Linked DNA regions of Arabidopsis thaliana. The protein of the gene in region 1 interacts with the protein of each later gene in a pairwise test. Each region holds a gene or a part of one and is shown on either strand. Other genes may lie near its edges.

Region 1 (12,156 bases):
TTCCTTGTTGTTTCTTCAACTAATCTTCGTTTTCCTCTATCATAAGTCGCGTGTTGTAGCGCCATTAACTTCTCTCTGCTCATAACGTTTTATTTTCAAACACAAAATTCCGTAGACTGGTTAGAACCACTTATGTTTTTGCTTCAAAATTCTCTAAAACTGAAAACTCTTATGATCAACGAAAACACGGTAACAAGCGCATCCATCTAATTTTGATGAACTCAACATTATAATAAACTGTACTGATACCAGGACTTCGAGGGTCTCCAACCTTCCTGGAACCAGTCGAGTTCTATTCCCACATGCCTGTCAACTCATCTAGAGATCTTTGGTTGGAAAGACAATGGAAGAAGAGAAGATGAGAAACAATTTAGTGACATACATTCTCGCAAACTCAAAGTGTTTAAAGACAGTGGAAATCTCCCTCATAGCAGCCTTCAATCTTAAGGAGAGGCAAAAGGAGTTAGTTACCATGCCTAGGATTTCAACATTATCTAGGCTTCTATTCCCCATCCAAATGGAATGGGAGTTCAATGAAACAACTTTTTCATTATATATATTGTCATATACAGTATATGCTATAACTACTCAAGCTGTCGTTTACAGATTGCAATTTTTTTGCCTTATTAACTCGAAAACTCTAATTCAGCCAACTTTTTACTAGTCGAGATGAATTTTTTTTTAAGCATATACGTACAACAAGGCTAGATTTTTTCATCATGAGTAAGTTTAACAAAGACTGTGTGCTTGCAAAGTCATCATGAGTAGGTTGTTTTGAGTCTCTTATGTGAATTAAACAAAACAAAAAAAACAACGTGAACATTTCAGTCCAATTTTGTTTGTCTCCCTACGATTCAACCAGCAAAAGAAAAAAGCACATAAAAGCAAAAAATGGGAATCAATATATTGAGACGTTAATTATGACTGGCATGTGTATGTATATTGTATGGTGGTGCGTTACAAATGAAAGCACCCTCATATCTCTCGCTATCACGACTTGGGAACTTGTTTTTACCCCTTCAAGTTTCGTTTGCCAACTTTTACTTACTGTTTTTTTTTTACCAGTTACTTTATTTTACTTTTTGCAATCAAATGTAACTTTGTTTATTTAAAAATGATGTTTCTAGAGGGTCATCAAAAATATCAGTGATTAGGCATAATTGTCAAATCTTGATAATTCAAAGATCTCGTTTATATGTGTTTAGTAATTTAGTCATAGACTCAACCAAAAAACTTTAGTGATCAAGTGATACTTTTTTTTTTTTTTTATCTTCTTCCAAAGCATGCAAACAGAGGAAATCAAAATATAAATGTAATCTTTTAAAACTACGGTTGTAATTAAAATTACTTTTTTTTTTTTTTTTGTCGTAAATTACTAAATTAGTATTGAATTAAGTTAGAAACTATTTCTGTGTATTTTCTTAGAGTACCTTGTGTATAATTTTGTATGAAAATAGCTAAAGAACTATCGGTAACTTTTCTTCACTTTACAGTTTTGTTTTTTACCTCTACAGTTTTTACAATTTTCGTTCTTGTTTTACAGTTAAAAAAAAATAGAAAGAAACATGAAACCACCTTCGCTTTCTCTGCTGGTGGAAGGTGCTTCGATACTACGACAAAGAGCAGCGAACTAGTAAAGCCTCGGAGATCTGAATCCCATTTCAATCAGCAAATCTTTCCGTCTCTACTTCTCTGTTTGCCGGTGTACCGGATTCTGATTCCGGAACAGACATTGCTTAATTTTGCTTCCCTTTGGCCTGTAAGCAGATTTTCAATTTTTGCTCTGTGTTTGATTTTCTTATATAGTTGGTTTAGTAAGTTCTTCTATGAAGTGAGAACAATTCTGGGCACTTCTGATTTTTTAGTCTCTAGTGATTTTAACTAGTCTATTGTGATTTTGTTGAATTTCAATTTTCTCAGACTTAACTGATAAAAATCTGATTTTTTTTCTTCTTCTTATTGTTAAGCTTTGATGATATTTTTGGATCTTGTTAATATTTAGTATAAAGTTCGTGAATCTAACATTATCATGGTTCTGCTGAATCTATACTTAAATTTGAAAATGACTTATGTTGATTAAAAACCATAACTTTTTTTTTTGTGTTTCAGGGATTGATTGAAGTTAAAAAATAGCTACATTGTACTGTAAGATTGAATATTGATGATCTCGCCGCGCGATTTCTCGTTTGAGTGATTTTCGGCTGTGAAAAATGAAGAGATTTTATGGAGGGCTTCTTGTTGTATCAATGTGTATGTTCTTGACGGTGTATAGATATGTAGACTTGAACACTCCTGTTGAAAAGCCTTATATTACTGCTGCTGCTTCTGTTGTTGTTACTCCTAACACCACTCTTCCTATGGAATGGCTGCGGATTACTCTCCCTGACTTTATGAAAGAAGCGAGGAATACTCAAGAAGCGATATCTGGTGATGATATCGCTGTTGTCTCGGGTTTGTTTGTTGAGCAGAATGTGTCTAAAGAAGAGAGAGAGCCTTTGCTTACTTGGAACCGTTTGGAAAGTCTTGTTGATAATGCACAGAGTTTAGTTAATGGAGTTGATGCTATTAAGGAAGCTGGCATTGTTTGGGAGAGTCTTGTGTCTGCTGTTGAAGCTAAGAAACTAGTTGATGTTAATGAAAATCAGACGAGGAAAGGAAAAGAGGAGCTTTGTCCTCAGTTTCTAAGCAAAATGAATGCTACTGAAGCTGATGGGAGTAGTCTGAAGTTGCAAATTCCTTGTGGTTTGACTCAGGGTTCCTCCATCACAGTTATTGGCATCCCAGATGGTCTTGTTGGTAGTTTTCGGATTGATCTAACGGGACAACCGCTTCCAGGGGAGCCTGATCCACCCATCATTGTGCATTATAATGTTAGGCTTCTTGGTGACAAATCGACGGAAGACCCTGTGATTGTTCAAAACAGCTGGACGGCATCTCAGGACTGGGGAGCTGAGGAACGCTGTCCAAAATTTGATCCTGATATGAATAAGAAAGGTGAATGCAAGTATAGTTTCACCCGCTTACATAAATGTAGTCACTTGATCCTCCATGAATAAGTCTGTGTTGACATGATTATAATACACAGTGGATGACTTGGATGAATGCAACAAGATGGTTGGTGGAGAAATTAACCGAACTTCTTCAACTAGCTTGCAGTCCAACACTTCAAGGGGAGTTCCAGTAGCCAGGGAAGCATCTAAACATGAAAAATACTTTCCTTTCAAGCAGGGTTTCTTATCGGTTGCTACACTTAGGGTGGGAACAGAGGGAATGCAGATGACAGTTGATGGGAAACATATAACTTCATTTGCTTTCCGCGATGTAATATCATCACTCTTCTTATATATTTTTCTACTGCTCTTAGCAATTTTCCATCAAATGTTTAGTGTCTCATATGGGTTCTTCGTCTTTCAGACACTGGAACCGTGGCTTGTTAGTGAAATACGGATTACAGGTGACTTTAGGTTAATATCCATTCTTGCCAGCGGTTTGCCCACATCAGAAGAATCAGAGCACGTTGTTGATCTAGAGGCACTAAAATCACCTACCCTTTCACCATTAAGGCCACTGGATCTCGTTATTGGTGTTTTCTCCACTGCAAACAATTTTAAAAGACGGATGGCTGTGAGGAGAACATGGATGCAGTATGATGATGTAAGATCTGGAAGAGTTGCAGTACGCTTTTTTGTTGGCCTTGTAAGCTTTCTCCCTCTCTGAAAATATCAGGAGTATGTTGGAATTGCATAATTCTAAATGATGATTTTCTTTGTGGTTGGTAATGCAGCACAAAAGTCCTCTTGTTAACTTGGAACTCTGGAACGAGGCTCGGACTTACGGTGATGTTCAGCTAATGCCCTTTGTTGATTATTACAGTCTCATCAGTTGGAAAACACTAGCCATCTGCATCTTCGGGGTAATAATATAGTTGTCTTTGTCATGTTTCTTCCTAGCCACAGTTGAGTAGTCTTTACTGTTTTGCCTCACTAACGTCATATTTTAAACAGACAGAGGTTGACTCAGCCAAGTTCATCATGAAAACGGATGATGACGCCTTTGTTCGTGTAGATGAAGTGTTACTTTCTTTATCAATGACCAACAACACTCGCGGGTTAATATACGGACTGATCAATTCCGACTCTCAACCTATTCGAAACCCTGATAGCAAATGGTACATCAGTTATGAGGTACAACACAATCTGACATAGCTATGTTTGCAAATAGACTGATTTCTGATTCATTTAACGAAGTTTCTACTCAAAAAACAGGAATGGCCTGAAGAGAAATATCCACCATGGGCGCATGGTCCAGGCTACATTGTATCTCGTGACATAGCAGAATCGGTTGGTAAGCTTTTCAAAGAAGGAAACCTAAAGGTATTGTACTACTCTATGCTAACTCCATTCAATCACATTTCCGGATTCACATAGAAATGGATTGTGAAAATTTTTGAAATTTGTGAATAGATGTTTAAGCTAGAAGATGTGGCAATGGGGATATGGATAGCTGAGCTGACAAAACATGGACTCGAGCCTCATTACGAAAACGATGGAAGGATCATTAGTGATGGATGCAAGGATGGTTATGTGGTTGCTCATTACCAAAGCCCTGCCGAAATGACTTGCCTTTGGCGTAAATACCAAGAAACCAAACGCTCTCTTTGCTGCCGCGAATGGTAAAACGTGAACGCACATATTTCAACCATTGCGTTTTGGTTCACGTGTCCTTCCACAGGTACATAAGAAAAGAGTTCATTCTTTGGTCACAAAATATTTGATTTTGTTTGTTTGTTGTACAAGTAGACTAGATTTGCAGTTTAGTTTTACTTTTACGTGTGTATATTACAAAGATGTACTAAAACTTTCAACTGATAAATAACAATAGGAGCATATTTTATCTTTTGAGAATTTGATATGAATCAATTGTCATTGCTTACTCTTCACAAATGTTTACGTGTAATCCACTAGGGAGTGAATCGTGTCACTTCAAGTAAAGATCCGAAACCAGTGGAACTTTTTCTTTTCTTCTTATCCACCATCATGCATATAAATATGTGCAACAGCCTTCAAAATTCCCAAAAACACCCTTCGTCGTCTTGAAGTATAACTCTCTGGAATGAGGAGAGTTTAGACAAATCATAACGTTGAGTCAGAGAAAAATATAACATAGATATTTGCTAATGGATAAGCATATCGATAACATCAATCATTGTCTTCAACTTAATTTATTTTAGGCCCATGGGAAGAAAAGTCTTCTGCGTTAATAATTTCTAGATCTTTCCACAACATTCATACGCAACTCCCTTAAATCTTGAAACGACCAATTTCTTCAAAACAATAGTTTGTTTGCGATGGCGACAGAACAAGAAGCTGAAGTTGGAACAGAGACATCCTCTGTTTCCGGAAGGTTTTTGAGGAACAGAGATTTATATCTCTTCTTGCCTTTTCTCTTAGGCTTCTCTGATCAAGAATCATCAAACGGAGATGATGATGATGTTGCTTCATCGCGTGAGAGAATCATTTTAGTCAACCCTTTTACACAAGGAATGATTGTGCTCGAAGGCTCATCAGGAATGAATCCTCTGCTTCGTAGCTTACTGGAGTCACGTGAGGAAGGTCGTCCTCCTGCGTCCAAGGCTTCCATCGATGCGATGCCGATCGTTGAGATTGATGGCTGTGAAGGAGAGTGTGTGATCTGTTTGGAGGAGTGGAAGTCCGAGGAGACGGTGAAGGAGATGCCGTGTAAGCATAGGTTTCACGGTGGATGTATAGAGAAATGGTTAGGGTTTCATGGGTCGTGTCCTGTTTGTAGGTACGAGATGCCTGTTGATGGAGATGAGATTGGGAAGAAAAGAAACGATGGGAATGAGATTTGGGTTAGGTTCAGTTTCAACGATGGTCGGAGAATTAGAGATTTTTCTGCGCAGGACGGTGGAAACAGTGATGGTGTTGAGTCCGAGAATTAGGATTTACATAAGAAGCTTTTGTAAAAAAAACTTGTGCCTTTTTTTGTTCTTGTTCTGGGAAAAGGTTGATGAACTTTTTTTGTCTTAAGATGGTACAAAGTAAGCTCAGGAATCTCCATAATCCTCATCAAACCCTGAGGCATCACTTCTGATATCACACATAACAAAGAGAAAAAAATGAAAAAACAATCAAGAAATGTGCATAAGACCAAACCACAAACACTTCTTGATTCCTTGATTAAGAGTTTTCAGAAGGACAAAGAAGATAGAGACGAACTTTCTGGCCCACCAAGTTGATTAACAGCATCGATGAATCTGTTTTGAAGCTCACAACTCCATTTCAATCTCTCCTTAGATTCCTTTGACTTATGGTTCTTATCATTTACCATGTTCTGTAGTAACAATCAAGAATGATCCCAAACGCAAAAACATTACTCTGGCCACAATAAAGATTAAAAAGAAGGATTTTATTTTCACGATTGTTGCACAGATATGGAGATTAAAAACATGTAGTTGTTGGAGTTTGCTTTTACGCTTGTTCTTCAAATCTTATTCTCACAACATAACTGGAAACATTAGTTGGGAATATATGCTCTCTTGACTCTTTCCTCTTTCTTTTTCTTTTATTTATTTACCTTTTTCTCATTTTACGTTTTAGTATTTGACTACATACAATATTTGTTTCCCTTTCCTCGAGTACTTCCGGATTTCACACAACTTTTTGAATACATATTTTTTCTATATTTTTGGAAGTTTTGTGTAAACGCTTTCTTCTTTGACCTGAAGTGGGGTTAGACAGAATATGATCCAATAATGTCAAAACAAAAAGTTTCCATGAAAATTATAATAGACTGAAGTTTATCAAGCTCATTACTTCTCCTTAATTATCTCGACAACTCCATTTCCATACTTCTCTGCATTTCTTTGAATTTCCCTACACTATATCATAGCATGTAATAAAACGCCAACAAACATTTGTAACCAAGAGATTAAAAATGTTGTAGGTGTATAAGAAATTTAGTCTATGATCACAATTCACAAGATATAGTAACCCTTAAATATGCTTATTTTATTACCATTATAAACCACGAGAAGGAAAATAAGATGCAACAAATACTGTAAAGCAATTTTTTTTTTTTTTTTTTGTCACACTGTAAAGCAATTAAAATCCCATAAAATATATATAAAAGAGCCTCTATCGATCCCATGTAAAGCATATAGAATGGCCTCCGTCACGTTTTTCACGACAAGGGGCTGGTTCATAAATGTACCATATACATTCTCTACATATCCCAATAGGACTTGTTTCATTGTCGTCTCTGTCTGCCCTAAAAATATCAAATTTCTCTATACTTCCGGGCCACTCGAAAGTGCAATTATACGTTGTTGTTTTACGAAGATTGACACGAAACCTGAAATCGAAACTAGCTCCGATTGGGAGCTTTTGTATCCCCAAATCTTTCTCTTTATTCACACAATGTACGACCAATGTTGCACGTGAGGTCAATGTGTTGTAGATCACGACATGTTTAGGTGAAAATAGCAAAATTCCATCGTTGGACGAATGATTTCCCAAAGATGACAACTTTTTTAGGATAAATAAAAATGAGAGAAGCACGGAAGTGAAGTGGTTATTTGTTGAGGAAGCCATGGAAGGGTTTACTGGTTTGTGACACAATATTTTTCCTTGTTTCGAAAGTAGTATTTATATGTAGATGGGAAAAATTGATTATATATCATTTAATTACTCATTAGGAGGGGAGAAAGGAAGTTAAAATCTATTGTTCTTTCCCTACCAAAAAAAAAAAGGTCTATTGTTCTTTAAAAATAATCTAACTAATAATTAGTTATCTTTATTGTTCTTTAATTAATTAATATTTTTTAAAGTGTGAAAAAATGATAAGATCTCTCTATCCCCTATATATTAATTAAGAAACATACTTAAGAAAATAACCTTTAGCTACTGTAGTATTTACAGAGATATCATGCTGACGTGACGCAAGCAGAGCAATTCTCAACCAACTTAATTCGTTGTTCATCATTTACTAGATTATTTACAAAAATTGTCATTAATATTATATATAAATATTCCAACAACATAAAAAAAAAAAGCAATTTCCAATTAAAAATATAGTAAATAATTAAAAACAAAATTTCAATTAAAACAACCTAACTAAAGAGATTTAATATGGAAAATTGAATATATACAAAAAATTAAGATTTGGGAGCTTCATAATCTTGACATCTTTCCTCTATTACTTTTATATATTTAAATCTAAAAATAAATATTCACAATAAATAGGATTATCTATTTTCATCATATTTCTAATCAGATTTTACCAATACATTTATAATTTAAATTATTCCCAAAAATATAATATCAATTAAACTTAGTTAAATTTTAAATATTCAGAAAATTCTAAAAATATAATAAGAATTAAATTTAATCAGAAAATTCCAATTTTGTTTTCTGTTAAAATTATAAAATAATATCTAATATATTTATACAACTTATGTATGTTTCATATCAATTAATGTATATGTAATAATAATTTTACTTCAAAAAATTATTGGTTTAAATAAAATAAAACGCTATATGATATGTTTCATAATATACAAGCACACAAAGCAAAACAAAATTACACACAAACACACATGATTTGGTGACTATTTGGTTTGCAAAGGACAAAGTAGATGGATGAAGCTCACAGTTCCATCTCAACCTCGGGTTAGAGTCCTTTATACTATACAAGTATACAACTGATAAAGTAAGAGAAATGGAAAGAGACACTCAAATACTTTGCTGTAGAATAATCAAAGCCCGTCTTGGATTTAGAGAGAATATAAAACATACGTATATGAAATTGCATGGGGATGTAAATAGGCTTATATAGGTTTTAGTGACAAATAGTGAAAAATATGTAACAACAATTTCAAACAGCTTATTTGTCTATTTAATACTATTCGGATACAACGAAATGAAAGAAAAATACCAGAAATATTCTACGATGATTAAGAGCTTGATTGGTATGCAGTTTTTTCACGTTTTCAACAATTCTGATGAGTACTTAGTTATTATTCATAAAACTGTGATCAATGATAAAACATAAAAATAACACGTGGTTATTTAATTTTTCTTGCATGTTTTGAAATTATAACCAAACTAAACAAACTTAGCTTTATTCATCTATCTAATACTAGTTTTTTGGCATTTGGAAAAAAAAAACATTTCTCTTCAATTTAAAAGTGTCGTTATTCTATTGATTCCGATATTTCACAATTGGTCTATTCATCTGTTAATATGATATACCATTCAATCTCTAAGATGTCCATGAAAAACAGAAAGGAGCCCCTCCATCGCGTCTAGCACGACATGGACCTGTCTCACAAATATACCAAATACATTCTCTACATATTCCACATGTACTTTTTGAATTATCGTCTCTATCTACTCTAAAAATATCAAATGTCTTTGCATTTCCTGGCCACGAGAATGTACAAGTGTATGTTGTTGTTCTGCGTAGATTGACCCGAAACCTGAAATCTATTTGTTCTTGAGGTTCTAACGCATGAACCCCTAGATCTTTCCCTTTATTCCTACAGTGCACGACCAATCTTTCATGTGGGTTCAATGTGTTGATGATTATAACATGTTTAGGTGCAAACGGAAGATCAACATCGACAGATGTATAGTTTTCAAACGCTAATGACGTTTTGAAGATAACTAGAGTTGTGATTAGCACGGAAATGAATTGGTGATTTGTTAAGGAAGCCATGGATGTATTTTGCTGGTTTTTAATATACTTGGATTTTCTGTGAAGTAGTATTTATGAATTAAAAAAATTGTGAACTATTATCTTCTTGTTATTTCCTTGACAAAACATTTAATATACCATATAATTAGTCATATTTAAAATGATGTGAAATTTGTCAATTAAACAAAAAGATGTGAAAATCTGTAGATAATAAAGCTTATAATGATGTATTTTCAAGTAAAGGTTTTGAAATTATAACTAAACTAAAGACACTTTATTCATCTACTAAATATTAATTTTTGGCATTTGAAAAAAAAACATATATATTCAATTTAAAAGTGCCATCTTTTTATTGATTCCGATATTTCATAATTTGTCTTTTCATCTGTTAATCTGATATACCAGTCAATCTCTAAGATGTCCATGAAAAACAGAATGGATCCCCTCCATCGCGTCTAGCACGACATGGACCTGTCTCACAAATATACCAAATACATTCTCTACATATTCCACTTGTACTTTTTGAACTATCGTCTCTATCCGCTCTAAAAATATCGAACGTCTTTTCATTTCCTGGCCACGAGAATTTACAAGTGTATGTTGTTGTTCTGCGTAGATTGACACGAAACCTGAAATCTATTTGTTCTCGATATTCTATCTTATGAAGCCCTAAATCTTCCCCTTTATTCCTACAGTGCACGTATAATTTTCCATGTGGGTGCAAAGTGTTGATGATTATAACATGTTTAGGTGAGAACGGGAAATTACCATCGACAGATGAAAAGTTTTCAAACGCTAACGATGTTTTGAAGATAACTAGAACTGTGATTAGCATGGAAATGAATTGGTGATTTGTTGAGGAAGCCATGGATGTATTTTGCTCGTTTGTAATATATATACTTTGATTTTCTGTGAAGTGGTATTTATGAATTAATTTTTTTTGTCAACTATTACCTTCTTTGTTATTTCCTTGACAAAAACATTTAATATACCATATCCAGTCATATTTAAAAGGATGTAAATTTGTCAATTAAACAAAAAGAAGTGAAAATCTGTAGATTATATAGCTTATAATTAATTATGTATTTTCAAGTAAACATGTCTATTGGTAGTTGCTAGCATACAAAATAAAATATCTCATCTAATTTACTTTTGGGAAGTAGAAGGTTAAATATCTCAAAATAAGATATTTTTGTCTAATAGGATTCTATTTGTCATCTTTACTTCTTTAGTAGGTTTTTCTTTTTAGTCATATTTAGCTAGTCCAATTATTCACAACTTTTTTATATATATTTTTGTAAGAAAACTAATGGACGTCTTCTAAAATGTTATTGTGAATTTACATATAAAGAGAGAAACTATGAATGATGATGGGATGTTAAAAAACGAGCAAAATAATGGTTAAAAAGGGGAGATATTATTATTTTTATGCTTGTATATGCTACTACTTACCTTATACAATAATGACACTGAATTCTATCACACATGTGGTAGATGTTCATTGGTCCCATGGAATGATGACTACTTTAACTCTAGTAGTATTTTCCATTTAGACGTGTTTCACACGGTGTACAACCGACGTAGACCAAACAATGTTGCATATTGCCATGTTCATTTTTGTAAAATAGATTTCTCATGTTCTGTTTTTTTTTTATAAACAGGGTAAATCATGGGCTGAACCTAAATTAATCCTCGAGATCTATAGAAATTGGGTATCCTTGCCATTTAAGGTGTCTACGGTTACCAAAAAAAAAAAATTAGATCCATGATCTTTCATACAAGAGAGAGTCCCCAACCCATTTGAGGAGACTGCTAAGCCACTTTTACAGGACCATTCAAAAAAAAAAACTACATTTTAATAACTTACTAATCTCTGTCTCGTAGTTTTGTTGGAAGTGAAAAAAATGTCGAATTTTCGTAACAATTTTTCTCTATCTCTTGAGAGGTTTTCTTTACCAAAGTTTAGTTGTTTCCTTAAGAACTTCTAAGTCCAAATTGACGGCGTTTTTGTGCTTTAATTACACGAAATAATTGCTTCTCTTGCGGTTTAAATTTATGTGCGCTATTCATTCTTAACACGAACTCCGGAAAGTTTGAACTCCAATTATTAACATTCTTTGACTAGATTTCGTGCGAGTATATTAAGGTTGTTCTGCTTCTTCCGGATCTACGAGAATAAGCGGTGAACCAATATTATATATACCATATATTCACTTTAATCGTTATGAAAACGTTGCCTCGTCATCAATGTCTTGATTAGTCGTGAATTCAGATTTTCATGGTTATAAGAACAACCTAATCTATTAACACATGAGAAACTAAAAAATAGGTAACCACAAATTCAAACACCAAATTATTTTATTTATATTATTACTAAAGTAAATGAAGGGAAAAATATTTTAAATGACTAAGAAGCCCAAGGAAAACACTGAGGCTGGC
Region 2 (13,939 bases), on another chromosome or scaffold:
TTCTAGATATAACCCAGAAAATGTTACAAACTCTTTACGGTTTCCTCTACAGGGTCCTATGGCATTTTACAAGGGTTTCATCCCCAACTTTGGACGCCTTGGCTCATGGAACGTAATCATGTTTTTGACCCTCGAACAGGTAACAACTGATAGAATTTTTATTTTATCGCAATCGCATTCGAATCGGTCACGCAAAGTCTTCTTTCTCATTTTCTAATCCGGGTTCTTAATACTCTAATCCAGGCAAAGAAGTATGTCCGGGAACTCGATGCGTCCAAAAGAAACTGAGACACATAGTTTTAAGCAGAGGGAATAAGAGCAACATTGTTTTCTTCTTCATTTTCGGTGATTGAGAGAGGCCAGAACTTGGTCGAATATTGTTTTCGGAATAGAGATTCAGTTTTCGAGTAAAACTGTGAAATAAAATTTCTGTGGATTGCTCATATATTGGCTGTACCATCCAACATTTATCAAAAATCATACATTTTTCTCCTTTCTTTCCACAAAACCGAGAAAAATCAGAAAAAGAAACTCCTGAAGAAGAAAGAGGTGACAGCATCTCAGCTCAGTTTCTTATTTTCCGGATTAGCCCATATCTCGAGTCTAAGGTAAAGCTCTCTAGTTTTGTTGCAGATAAACTCAATAGAGCCAACAATGTAATCCTCATATCTCTCATAGAAAGCTGGAACCGTCATAACCACCAAAACGCCTGCCAAATTAACCAAGAACAACCACAAAATGAATATCCAGCTCAAAAGCATTCCAAGTCTATAGGAGTTTTAGAATATCTACTTACTGGTGTGGCAAAGTGTCTGAAAATCCATGAGACTTCCGATCAATGAGAGAAGAAACAGTGACACTGCTACTTTGGTATACAACTCTGAGTCTCTTGCCATTGCAATGTCATGCGAAACTTGGAGTAGCTTGTTCACATGAATACGTAACCATATCGAAGCTTCTTCCGCCATCGCTTCACTTATTTGAAACTCCGGTAACGGCGGTGATGGCCTGAAGAGCCAAGAAATTGAATCAGAAATGAAGTAATATTAGTTACAAGTGAATATTAATATACCTGTTGAGAATGGAAGCAGATTTGGACCAGAGGAAGAGAATAGAGAGCAAGAGAAGAAGAACACTTGAAATAAGAGTAAAGATAGTGTAAGCAAATGCCTCAAACACCATCCATGAAGCTATTGTCACTGTAACTATACCAACACTCACATTCTTCTTCCTCCACAGCATCACATCTGCAACTGCAGATTCATTTCATAACAAGAAAAAAAAAAGGCTATAGAGGTGAGAGATCACCTAGCTTTTATAAGTTTTGGATTTGGTAAAGAAATGTATTCACTAACCAATGCCTCCTCCCAGAATCTCATGTATTGTCCTGTCTCTGTTGAACAACTTGTCCGAAGAAGAACTCATTTGAGAAGAAAGATCAGAGCAAACTTGGATTCAGATTTCCTCAGATGATCAGATCCCAAAAGTAACCCAGATATGTATATCTTTCTCTGAATGTCAGAAACAGATCATTATGTGAAAGGAAATCCTAAAGGCTCGAATCGAAGGAACCTGATGTATCACAAAGAAAGTAAAAATAAAAAGTGAAGAAGAGACTAAAGTTGGGTCATCACCATCATCATCAAAGCCATCAACTTTGAATATACAAATAATTAATTAATAATTCAAAGGCTATGCTCTGTTTAGGGAAAAAGAAGGTGTTTGTTGTCCTCTCGATGTTTTTATTTCCAGCCTAAAAGTGTTATCCTTCTTGTTTTTTTCAAACTGTAAAAGTTCGCCAGATTGTACTTAGAGATGAATCAAATTTTACACCATCCTTTTATATTTTCCATAGAACACATTTAAATTGGTCATTCATCTACTTTTAGTCAACTGAAGTAATTTATGTACCCTTTTCAGATGTAGTTTCCTATGAATTCGAAAAGGTCGAATCTTTATCCTCAATTTAAGATTGTCAGAAGAATTTAATATGGTAAAAAAATCAAACAAAAACAATTCCACAAACCATTTATTATCCTCTGTTTTCTATCTTTCGATGTAAGCTTTTTTCTTTCTCTGTTCTGTATGTAAAATTGTTGATAACTCTTGATAACAAACCAAAACAAAGAAACAAAAGTGAATATCCCACCACCTCCATCAATAACACTTGTTCTCTATTTTCTCTGCTACTTTTGTTTCTCAGTTTCCTTTTCAGAAGTGCCCACAGCTCCGAGATTGGCCTCAGCAGCAGAAGCATCAAGCAAACTTGCTGCAATTGCTGCCTTCAAGTCATCATCTTCCATCTCTGAAAAAGCCTGCACTTCCTCACGTGACAATGCCTGATTCCGTCTTTGTTGATTAACATTGTCATTACTTCTCTTGTTTCTGGCAGAAGAACCTGAGCTCGTGTTCTTTCTTATTCTCTCTGCGTCTTCAGGAGAAAGCCACTGCCCGAAACTATTGGAAGCTTCAGAAGAAGACGACATGGGACATTCCTGAGGGAAGTTTCCTTTCACTATGAAGATACTCCATCCTGCGCCTTTGAGAGAGTCTAAGAACGCAGAAAGGTAGAACTTCGATAAATGTTGCGGGGCAGCAAGGAGACTATCAAAGTTATACCATTCGCCATTCACTTTCCTTATACAAAACCAATGGTCATGCAAGTGGCAGATAAAGGCGCTTTCAAGCTCAGGGTCTATCTGCGCAGGCTCTGCATCTGGACAATTGAGTGGAATTACTTGTAGATCCCACACTTCCAAAGCTTTTTGCAAGACCTGTCAATCAAACAGAAGCATTCTCAGTTAAACGAATAAGCAAAGACTAGATCAACTTTGCAAGATTAAAATGCTACACCAATCGCATAAACCCTCTGTTTGCAGTGTTTTATCCGCATCCAACTTCAACGTAATCCGTTAAAATAGCTTTAATTTTAGATATCTAAAAATGTGATGTAAAACACCATACTATACCCTTGAATCTCAATACATAAATCTTGCAATCAAACCTGACTTTTGTAGCAACCTAATCAAATATCAAGTTATCAACCAACTCGGTTTAAAGCTATCCAAGAAACAAAAGATGATAATTGAATATACAGAACCTCACTAATAACTAACATATCCAAAACAATTGAGTCCCAAGATAAAAAAAATCATCTCAAGTTCCTCCATTTATCAGCATAGCAATGTTCGCACAATGAAACTAGCCTTCAACAAATGAGTTTTAACCCAAAGTAAAGATCGCAAATTCACACCATTACTGATCTCAATTCTTCTTGAATCTATCTAAAAACGAATCCAACCATTCAAAAGTTTATCACTTCAGCATAAACACAGCAATCAAAAGCACCATAAAATCGAAACCCTAATTTTGCCTAAACTTCCAACAACACAATAACAAAAAGGCTTTACAATATATAAATGTTGAATGCAACTCAAGATTTATCAATTTCATCGCGAATTCGTACCTGGATACTAAAATCGCCGCCGAGGGAAACATTGTGCGACTCTTCAGCTAAGAAATCGCCGGGAGCAAAACCTCCAACGGCAGCACCTTCAAGCATAACCTGACGCTCCTTCCCGTCTAGATCGGCGGCGACGGCAGCCAAATCGAATTCAGAGAAGAAAGGCCCTTGCAACACCGTGTTGACGCAGTGTACGGCGCACAGATTTGACTCTTGAACCTCGTGATACAACATTCCTCCGTTGCTTGTTCGTTCCATCGCCGATTAAGATTTGAATATCAAAATTCACTGATTTTGCGATGAATATATTATTATTGCTCCGATGCAAAAGTCTCAAAGAGATTGTGAAGCGAAGATGAAGATGAAGATGAAGAAAGAAGAAGAAGAAGCAAGTTAACAGATTATTTAAATAAGAAAATGTAAGGGACGGAAAAGTAAATATACAATAAAAGGATGCCACGTGTAATAACCGACTTTCTAGGCCTTTTTCTTATTTTGCAGACGAGCCCGATACTGTTTTGAGATAGGCCCATTATCTCAAAATTGACAGACCAACTTAGGTTCCTTGCTTCCCAAGATTTCTGGTGATCTCTTTGATGGCGACTTCTGATAATGTGATGGGTATGATCGGGTTGGTTTATGCCTGCATTTCGTAATAACCACGTCTGAGAGCACTAATACAGAGTTAGGAATTATACTACTGAGAGCACTAGCAGCAATGTCCGTGAACAGTTTAAGAATTTAGATAAGTTAGTGACAGATTTAAAGAATGAGATTCTGTATAAGCTTTTACGCCCTCTGATTCTTTCATCAAGGTAATACATCTACTACTTCTACCTGTTTGTTCTAAACTCTTATTATGGTCTAAATTTTTCCTTCTTAGCCATATAATTGCAAGGCTAGAGTTGATTATACTTTGTTAAATGATTAGGTTTGGTTTCATTTCCAGATAGTCCTGCTGGCTATTTCCGCTTCCGCTCATTTAGTGACCAAACCTGGCTTCATCGCACCACCACATTCGTAAAATGACAAAAAAACTTTCTCTTTTTCTATGTGCATATAGTTGAGCTCAATAAAAAGCTTGTTTCTGACTATATATATATAAACCATGGGTTTTACTGAACAAATAAACCCCAGAATCAAAATCTGTTTTTGACGCTTGCTTGTCTCAATCTTGTTAGACAACCTCCAAGAAGCCAAGGGGGCTTCCTTATGCATCCTGATCTTGAGCATTTTCCAAACAGTTCAGATATATAGTCAAAAGTAAAGACATCTTCAAAGAAACAGAAGAAAATACTTGATCTCTTTGTTTAATGTCTAGTAGTAAGTTTACATATGTATTGACAATAGGATCCTATGTGCTTTGCTTTTTGTTAAGATTTCCCATGCTGTTGTTTAGTTTTTGATTTTATTTCCCAGCTTATTGCTTATAACTTCCAATGTATATAATAAGTTTCTTAAGAGCAATGGCAAAATATAGGAGGACATATTATCAGACGGTCAAAAAGCTTTAAGCAAAAAGCTCATAAAATAGTTACCAATAGCCTTTTACATATAAGTGGAAGACTGGAAGTATTCAGAAATACATAAGCAAAACCAAAACAAACCTAACACACCAACAACAACTAGACCACATACAAAAAACATTTACAAGCAAAACACTTTTCAAACAAATACTGTTAACTCCAAATATCTTCCACACCAGTTTCTTGATCAATGTGCTCGACCAACAGCTTTCTTGTATTTGTAGCGTTTTGAAATCCAGAGGTACACTAAGAAGTTGAGGAAACTGAGAGTTGCCAACAAGTAGAAAAAGTAATCAAGATGGCCTCGGTTCAAGTTATCCGGTATCCAACCCGGTTTACCGTTCTTCTTCGTTATCTTCATCACAACCGTCACAAGAACTGTGCTCAAATAGTTCCCCAACGCAACCGTGGTCAACGACAAAGCAGAGCAGAGACTTCTCATGGCATCAGGAGCCTGATCATAGAAAAACTCAAGCTGACCTATAAAGGTGAAAACTTCTGCACAACCGATAAGTAAATACTGCGGTATCTGCCAGAATATCGACATATGGATCTGTTTTTGGTCATATGCATTGTGAGTTTTGACATAATCAAGCCTGACAACCTCCAAGACTCCTGCAGTGATCATGGCAAAGATGGAGACCACAAGACCTATACCCATACGTTGAAGCTGAGTGAAGCCTCGTTCATTGCGTGTGAACTTTCTTGCCAGCGGGATAATGAACTGGTCATAGACAGGAGTCCAGAAGAGTACACTGACAGTGTCGAAAAGTGAGAGTGAAGCTGATGGGATTTCAAAGTTTTTTCCCATGTGTTGGTCCATTGTGTTTCCTTGTAACACAAACATTGTGCTCATTTGGCTGTACACTGTGGCGAAGACTATTCCTGTGGCCCAAACTGGAAGAAGTGTGATTATTGACTTAAGTTCTTCAACTTGAGTAACAGAACATAGTCTCCATGGATTGACTTCCCCGTCTTTGATGCTATCAGATTGACTCTCAACCGCTGCCTTGTCAAAAAACCTGAGATGTTTTCAAAACTTTAGATTTGAAAACAGAGTATTTTTGAAGTTAGGATAAAGATTCAAACTTTAGTTTCTTACTTTAAGTTATCTGTGTGCACAAGTTTCCGGCTACCTTTGATGTTACTCTCATCATCTGCAGTTTCAAAGAGCAGAGACTTGTCCTCTGGAACCTTAACACTTATCTTCCGAAAAGCCGCTACTATAACCTGAAAGATCCTAGTAAGTGGACTCCCTCCAGGTCTCTGAAGTCTGTAAAAACGGCTTCCGAAGAAGAAAAAGCAAACCGCGATAACCATCGCGACTGTTGGAACACCGAAACCCCATCCCCAACCAACATTCATTTGTATCCAGACGAGAACAGTTGCAGCAATGAGAGCTCCAACATTAATGGAGAAGTAAAACCAGTTGAAGAAAGAACTTTTCTTGATCTTCTCATTCTCATCATTCTCATCAAACTGATCAGCTCCAAAGGACGAAACACACGGCTTTATACCGCCAGTTCCAAGAGCAATCATATAAAGCGCGACAAAGAAAACAGCAGTCTGACTAGAATTTGGATGACAAGTATCAGCATTGCAGTTACCTGGTTTAAGTCCAGGAACTGAAGCTGATAATGTCAAAAGAGTCATACCCTTCAAGAGAAAAAACAAACTTAATTAGTTTTAACCAAAAGATTCACATTTTTAACCAAAAGATAAGAAACAAGTAAAACTCACGGAGACATAGATGAAAACAAAAGTTGCAATAGTCCAATATCGTCCAAGGTAAGCATCAGCTATAAAGGCTCCAATCAAAGGAGTTATATAACATGTTCCAGACCAATTCGTGACGTTATTTGCAGCCGTAGCATTGCCTTGATTCAGACGGCTCTCAAGATAATTCACAAGGTTAGTGCCCATGCCATAGTAGGCCAATCTTTCACAGCACTCATTTCCTACACAAAACACATAAAACTGGTTAATCTTATATGGATAGATCCAATCAGGGCCCAAGCTATATAATAAAAAAATATAATGGCCCTTTCTTTATTTAGACAATTTTTTTGAAGAAAACAGAGCAGATTTTAGGTTTATAACTCTTTTTTCATAGTGATCACCCTACAAAACTAAACATTTCCAATAATATTTTAAATTTTATTTGTTCTCTATCATTCAATTTGCTTTTAATCGTATATAATCTCTTTTTAATCATTACATTTATTATTTACATGTAAATGTTTTTAGTGGACCTTAAAAAACAGGGGACACGAGAGGCCATTACTTAAGCTGGTCCAGGTCCTATACGGCAATAATGAAGAAAAAGATTGGTGAAACGATTAGAACGTTACCGAGAATGAAGCGGCAAGCTTTCCAATTTCCGGTTTTCTCCTTGTTTGCAGGATTTTTGTGAATATCAACAGTTCCATCTTGCGTATACACATCTTTTTCTTCCATATTCCTAATAAAGAAAAATAGTTTAGCTTTTTCAAGAAAGATGTACCAAACACATACCTAAAGATCCCCAATTTAGAGATCCATACTTCAGGTATAAGGTTATGAGAAAACCCTTAAAAATATACGTGAAAGAAATTGACTAGTAGATGCTTAGATCGAAATATGCAGATGAAGCAAGCAAGTACGAAATTTTCATGCTCTGAAATTATAGTTTATGTGTGACCAGATGAGGTTATGGTTGTAACTTGTAACGAAAGGAAAACTCATAAAAGACTTAGAAAAAAGGGAGAAACCTTTGTCGGCGGCAGCTGAATCAGCGGCGGAGACGAGAGGCAAGAAGAGAAAAGAGTAGCCGAGGGCGAGGAATTACACGGCACTTGTCGGAGTAATAATGAGCATGAGCTTATAAAAAAGACTTGCAGAGCTCTGGTCCCGTACAGCTTTTATATCCAAGGAAATAGAAAGGAGCGTTGCTCACTTTTCTTCTCATGTTTGCAGTTTAACCCTTTGAGTTTTTGTATATTTCAGTTAGAGCCGCAAGGCCTATTGTGCTATCAGATTTTGATATTATCTTGTTTTGACTCCAAAGTGTAAATAGATCAATATCGAAGGACGTGTTAATCATCCACCAAAACTTTAGTGGACTCTTTTTGTTTTTTATCCGATATTACGGAATTGACATTACCAGAAAGATAACAAGAAAGAACTCCTACTCAAAACAAGAAAGATACAAGTGTGAATACAAACACTTTGGTCAATAAGATGATTTGGAGTTTTCTTATAAAATTGAGTTCATACTCTTTCTTTTTTTATTTGAAACTTGTGTTCATACTCTAAATATCAGATTGTCGATTTTGAAAAAAAAAAATAGTTAGGTTTATTAAATTTGGTTTTGGTTGATGTTTGATTTTGGATATGTGAAAATAAAGCCAAAAACATCACTAGATTCAATATTCAATTTGGTGGTTCAGTCTAAATCCATTTGATTAAATCTCTAATCACTCCCTCGATTAAAAACATTGTTTCAGCTTTAAGGTCTCAGTGGATCTTAAAATATAAACTAGGGTAGTGATATTAGAAAGATAATTAAAGGTGTTTGATTTGGTTATGCTAAAATAAGAGGTGCTAATGACAATTAGTAATAAAGTAACCGTTGATCTAAAGATTCACCGAGGACGAATATTAAAAGATGCATGTGAATCGACATATGTAGCTGGATCCTGTTTATCTACGAGGATTTGGCTGTTTATCGACTTAGTTGTTGGACTTGAACTCTTTACTCCAAAAGCCCAACAAACTAAAGAGACAAAACCAAAAGTAAAATTTGATGTTTATGAAGCTAAATTTGAAAAAGAAAATATATCTGACCAAATTTGATATTTATAAAGAAAACATATTTGATGTATTTAACAATTTTTAAATTGATGACGTTTAGTTGCAAACAAAATAAATAAATAAATAAAATAGGTAAAAAACAGTGTGCTTTGATTGCTTTTATTTCATTGGAAGTCTTACCACGGCTTCCATACTCTTGTAGTCAACTTTTCTTACATATTCGTCTAATCAGTTATACCAATATATACTTTTGAAGTACACTAACTAGTTTTTGTTTTTTTTGTTAAAACATTAACTAGTTGTTGGGATGTGACATCGAGACTATGATGTTTCAAGGTGGATTTTGTGCAACGTGAGTAAGTAATCTTTGATCAGTGGTTTGAACTTTGAACTAATCATTATATCATTTGACACATTTTAAAATCAAGAACTAATAATTAACTATAAAACTTCAACGTTGATATGAAAGGTTGTTGCGAGGTCCAACTTTAATAGAATAAGTACGAAAATTGTTGTCAGATCTAACTGAAAATATAAGTAAAAGATAACACTTGATAGATCCACAAATCAATGATGTGCAATTATATAGAAATTTGGATCACTCATATTTGATTATTATTTCACGGGAATCATAGTAGTTGACCTTTTGATTCTAGTCTAATCCATTGATTCTTCAAATCCAATTAAGAAAAACCAATTTGTGCTTCAATTCAAAGCATTCTTTTTTTTTTTTCTTTCTGAAATTAAGATCAATTCTCTAAGCTAGCTAAAACGTATACTTGAGAGCTGTTTGGGAAGATAACTCTCTAGAAAGAAAAGCTAAAAGGTAATCTAGGTATCATCACTATCGACGACAACTTTGTTTGCCATTAACTTTTTAAAAAGTTGTAACTAATCTCACAACAGATCAAACCTGAAATAAGCGTGTAGTTTTATTTTATTTTATCAAAAGGTTAGATAAATGAATTAAAAATTCCTTATTTTTGGGCGTCAAGAATTCACATCCACGAAAACATTATATTATGACCGCTAAAGAAAGGTTACATCTAGGCTTTTTTTTTTTTTTTTTTTTTTTTTGTTTTGTGTATGGTGAATGGAAACTCCAATTTTCATTTCTTTTCGCCACCAGATGTTTCCATTTTACATAAAGTCTTCAAAATTTTCTTTGGAACTCCCAAATCCAATAATTGACATACTCAACATGAACTTTATTACTCAGTTGTACAAAAACCAACGGCTTTAATACGGAATAATGAACTGATATCCAAATAAGAGTTATTGCTTTCTCAAATGGTTTAATATCTATTTTTGGTTAAAACCTGTAATGAGTACTAAAAACTGACGATGGTTTATCTTTGCATGCGTCATCTTCACTTGTATTTTGTTTCTTACTTTGTCTGTCTCCTTCATCGGATGGTTGTGGTCTTTTCTGGTTTCTCCCAACCTCCGTTTCAAGCAAGAGACGACCTTTGTTAGACAGTACTTGATCAGATTCGAATTTTTCTTCCTGTTCAAAGACAAATTGTACCAAAACCTAAGTAATAATAGTTGATATTTCCTTAACCAAAAAAAAACACTAGTTGTTATTTTAGTGTAAAAAATTAAGTATATTTTAACGTATTGAATGATTGCCTAAGATGTTGTAGTCATACCGGAATTTTTCCAACAATCATGTGAGCCTTGTAGAAAACATCTTTCACTTGGGTTTCATCACCCCAAGCCTCCTCAAATTTGGTTATTAGATCTTCATTTATAAGCTCTACTCCTTTTTCCTTAGCCTTCATCGCGGGCTGCCACGATCTCAAGAACCCTATAAACCCTTTAAGCGAAAGTTTATGCGGAATGTCTAGAGTAATAGGCTTTCCTTCGGAACCCATCCCTATGGTCTCAAAAGGAAATGTCAATGTCTTGTAACCGTCAAATGCTAAATTCATAATAGGAGTTCTAAAAGGTAGAGTAGAGTCGACAAGGCGCTTCATTATGGGATCGATCTCATGCGAGATAATGATATCGTTGTATACCCAAACGGCGATTAGGCCTCCTTCTTTACGAAGAACACGTTTTGCAACATTGTAAAATACGTTGAGGTCGAAGAAATGGACAGCTTGAGCAGCAACTATGAGATCCACGGAGTTTTCTCCCCCGAGTAGATCCACCATCTCATCTTCTGATATCGTTGTTGGAGTGTGATGGTAACTGATTCTTGAGTGTTTGATTGCTCGTTGAAGTTGTGCTTCGTTTATATCGGTAGCCACTACATTCTCGTAATGCTCCACAAGCTGTAAATTATAGATTTCATGGTATTGTCAAGCTTAGTTCACCTACTATATTCTATATGTGCATGCATAAACATCAATAGGCAATCTGCAAGAGGCGAGTTCACTTAACTTATTTTGACAACATATATTTCAGTTTATAACTTGAGTGGTGACGACAGTAATACTTATCACTAGGTTGCAAGTCTTGAACAAATTCACTTACTATACATTATATATGTATGATATACCCACAATTCCACATGCATGGTCTCATTTACCGTTGATGAAATATTAATGTTTTGTGAATCTAGTAAAACAAAACAACATCTAAGCTCAGTTTTGTCTTTAATTTACATTTTCTTCCAAATCAGTCTAAGCTCATTTGCTAAAGACTATATAAGTTACGTAACTTCATTTTTCCTACCTCTTTTTGATGTAAATATTTTTTTAAACATTATTTTAGGTTAAAAATATCTATAAAAAATTATGCATATATTAAATACGTAATAAAACAGCAAAGATCGTTGACTAAAAAGATAAAAATAACAAGATCAAGAGGCTGAATAACAACAATCAAATTTGCCGCAACCAAGTTTGACTAATCTTTAGAATGATAGACATGATCACATGATGATTCACTGAAAGAGGCCCTCCTAAGTAAATTAGCTACCTTGTTGCTAGATATTTATCAGCAAATCTCAGTATCACAAATCATACTAACTAGAACTTCATACTAAAGGAAAAAAAAAAAAAGAAAAAAAAATAAAAAAGAACTTCATACTAAATGAAGGTTTTCAGATTTTCCCAAATCTAAATTAGAAGATATATAGTATTATAAAGCTTACCCCAATAGCAGCCTGACCATTACCAGTTCCAACATCCCAAGCAAATTTGTGGTCCTGTGTCCGTGCGGCAATTTTCTTAAACCAATCGATCGGATATCTAGGCCTTGCGTCGAGATAAGCTTCAGCCTCTTTCTCTGATAAGGCAGCCATTTTCTTCTACGTACCTCTCTCGTTTTCTTTCCTTGGTTTGAATACACAACTAATTCGTTTTCTATTTAAACTCTCTCGAGTCTTGAATAGTCTTGTTTCTATTAATATATTATGAAAAAGTTTAACCAAGTCCAACTTGGCGTGAGGTAAAGTTTCACTGCAAGTCCTTCCTAAGACGTCGTTTAAGACTTTTTTGTTTTAATATATTTTTTGTCGAAGACAAAATAGTCAGTATATAGTTGTAAACCAATATGCAGGCAATGCAAGTTTCCACGAAATGGTAGAGAAAAAAATGATTTAGTTATAATCAATTTTCTTTCAATCTCGAAAAAGGAAAATTGTACATATAATCTGTGTTTTATCTGTATTAGTGTTAGGCCCAAGTTCATTAGCTGAAGTTTCAAGTCATAATGGGCTCAATTTTGGGCTTATCTCTTGGGTTTAGTTTTTACAAGATAAAGTTGATAAAGTGAAGACTAAAATGAGGAAAAGAGAGGGTCTCGAGCGCTTTTTACTCTTTCTTCTTCACGAGAGCAGTGTCGTTGCTCTGATCTTGTAACTGTAACTCCGGCGGATTTTGCCGTTTATACTGGATTTTTCCGGTGTAGTATGTGATTCCTCCGATATAGACGCTAAAATCACTGTTCACCGTGAAACTCGTACATCAAATTTCGTCAATTGCGTTTCTTTATCGCTTTTGAGTTTCGACTACAATTCATGAAACCATGAGTGAGATCGTGAGAGTTCAAGAGATCGTTTCTAAACTCTGGAACCTAAACATAGCCTCCAAAAAATCCCCGAATCTGGTTACGATCATATCGAATGTTGGTTATAATCCTTCGTTTGAAACTAATGGAAGCTTCAAAGATTTCGTTTCTCGATTACTAGCTCGACGTGACAGTTACCGTATAAGGAGATTCTCTTTGAAACTACGTTCTTTGGAATTTGATTCAGCTAAGTACCATCTTGTCAACGAATGTCTACGCAATGTGTTGAATCGAGGTGTTTTGGATCTTGAATTGGACATCAATGTCAATGAAGTTTACAAATTGCCATTTGAGGTCTTCACTTGCAAGAAAGTTGTGAAATTGAAACTAGGTTCTGATTTTGTTATTGACAATATCCCTAAGAACGCTTTGCTTCCAGCTCTTAAGACTCTCTTTCTTGATAAAGTTCGGTTCATTGATAAAAGTGGTGGTTGTGCGTTTACAAGGCTTGTTTCTGCTTGCCCTGTGCTAGAGGATTTAGTGATATATAGGAACAACCGTGAAGATTGGGAATGGTCTCGCATTGTGTCTAGTAAGATCCTTAAGAAACTTACTATTCGGCGTGAAGACTGGGAAGATCTTGATGGCTCTAGTTATGAGTCAATTAGTTTTGATACTCCGAGTCTTGAATACTTCGAATACTTTGATGTTCTCCGAGATGGGTATCCAGTTGTTGATCTCAAGTCCCTTGTTGAAGCTAAGCTAGAACTTCCTCTTTTTATGGTTGGCGATACCTACGATGTTAAGAATCTGATTAAGGGCTTAGAAAATGTTCAGATTCTGAGCTTAGGCGTTGTTGACACGATGCAGGTAAGTGATCGCTATTGTTTCTCTTTAATATGTTACTGTAGCTTAACAACTAGTAGAGCATGAGGAAATTTAAATCTAGGAACCATTGAGATACTAAGATCATATCAATCTTGCTAGTGATTAGAATGTTTGCTCAAGTAATGACTGACTTAGTTGTTTTTAATTCTGTTTCAGGTGTTTTGTTTCTTCGAAGAAGCAGTACCAGTGTTTGAAAACCTGTTTCATTTATCACTTAGCACTGAAGTAGATTTCTGTTGGAATGTTCTACCAATTCTGCTTGAGAAATCTCCAAATCTAAAGACTCTCACCATTCAGGTATGACCTAAGA

What was found.
Region 2: the proteins of AT1G26800 (region 1) and PTR1 interact in a protein complementation assay, tested with the Arabidopsis thaliana proteins (one large-scale study listed by BioGRID).

The regions. Positions count from the first base shown.
Region 1 is NC_003070.9:9,279,382-9,291,537, reverse strand, and holds AT1G26800 (RING/U-box superfamily protein), read left to right. Parts: upstream 1-5,142; 5' UTR 5,143-5,347; coding exon 5,348-5,962; 3' UTR 5,963-6,513; downstream 6,514-12,156. Other genes in the region: AT1G26815 (FBD domain family), read left to right, coding at 344-664; GALT1 (galactosyltransferase1), read left to right, coding at 2,211-2,994, 3,086-3,321, 3,415-3,696, 3,785-3,913, 4,005-4,184, 4,266-4,373, 4,464-4,676; AT1G26799 (Plant self-incompatibility protein S1 family), read right to left, coding at 7,158-7,613; AT1G26798 (Plant self-incompatibility protein S1 family), read right to left, coding at 9,283-9,738; AT1G26797 (Plant self-incompatibility protein S1 family), read right to left, coding at 10,130-10,552; AT1G26796 (Plant self-incompatibility protein S1 family), read right to left, coding at 12,125-12,156. UniProt on the Arabidopsis thaliana protein: E3 ubiquitin-protein ligase involved in protein quality control (PQC) under proteotoxic stress. Is essential to plant survival under proteotoxic stress. Functions by removing damaged proteins before they form cytotoxic aggregates.
Region 2 is NC_003074.8:20,040,709-20,054,647, forward strand, and holds PTR1 (peptide transporter 1), read right to left. Parts: upstream 8,038-13,939; 5' UTR 7,740-8,037; intron 7,483-7,739; exon of another isoform or gene 7,451-7,482; 5' UTR 7,447-7,450; coding exon 7,341-7,446; intron 6,948-7,340; coding exon 6,730-6,947; intron 6,646-6,729; coding exon 6,092-6,645; intron 6,012-6,091; coding exon 5,177-6,011; 3' UTR 4,895-5,176; downstream 1-4,894. Other genes in the region: PUMP1 (plant uncoupling mitochondrial protein 1), read left to right, coding at 53-139, 244-288; AT3G54120 (Reticulon family protein), read right to left, coding at 561-709, 797-1,008, 1,073-1,253, 1,356-1,425; AT3G54130 (Josephin family protein), read right to left, coding at 2,187-2,774, 3,467-3,721; AT3G54150 (S-adenosyl-L-methionine-dependent methyltransferases superfamily protein), read right to left, coding at 10,094-10,288, 10,434-11,060, 11,885-12,034; AT3G54160 (RNI-like superfamily protein), read left to right, coding at 12,760-13,611, 13,786-13,926. UniProt on the Arabidopsis thaliana protein: Peptide transporter. Mediates the transport of di- and tripeptides. High affinity transporter with low selectivity. No transport of amino acids.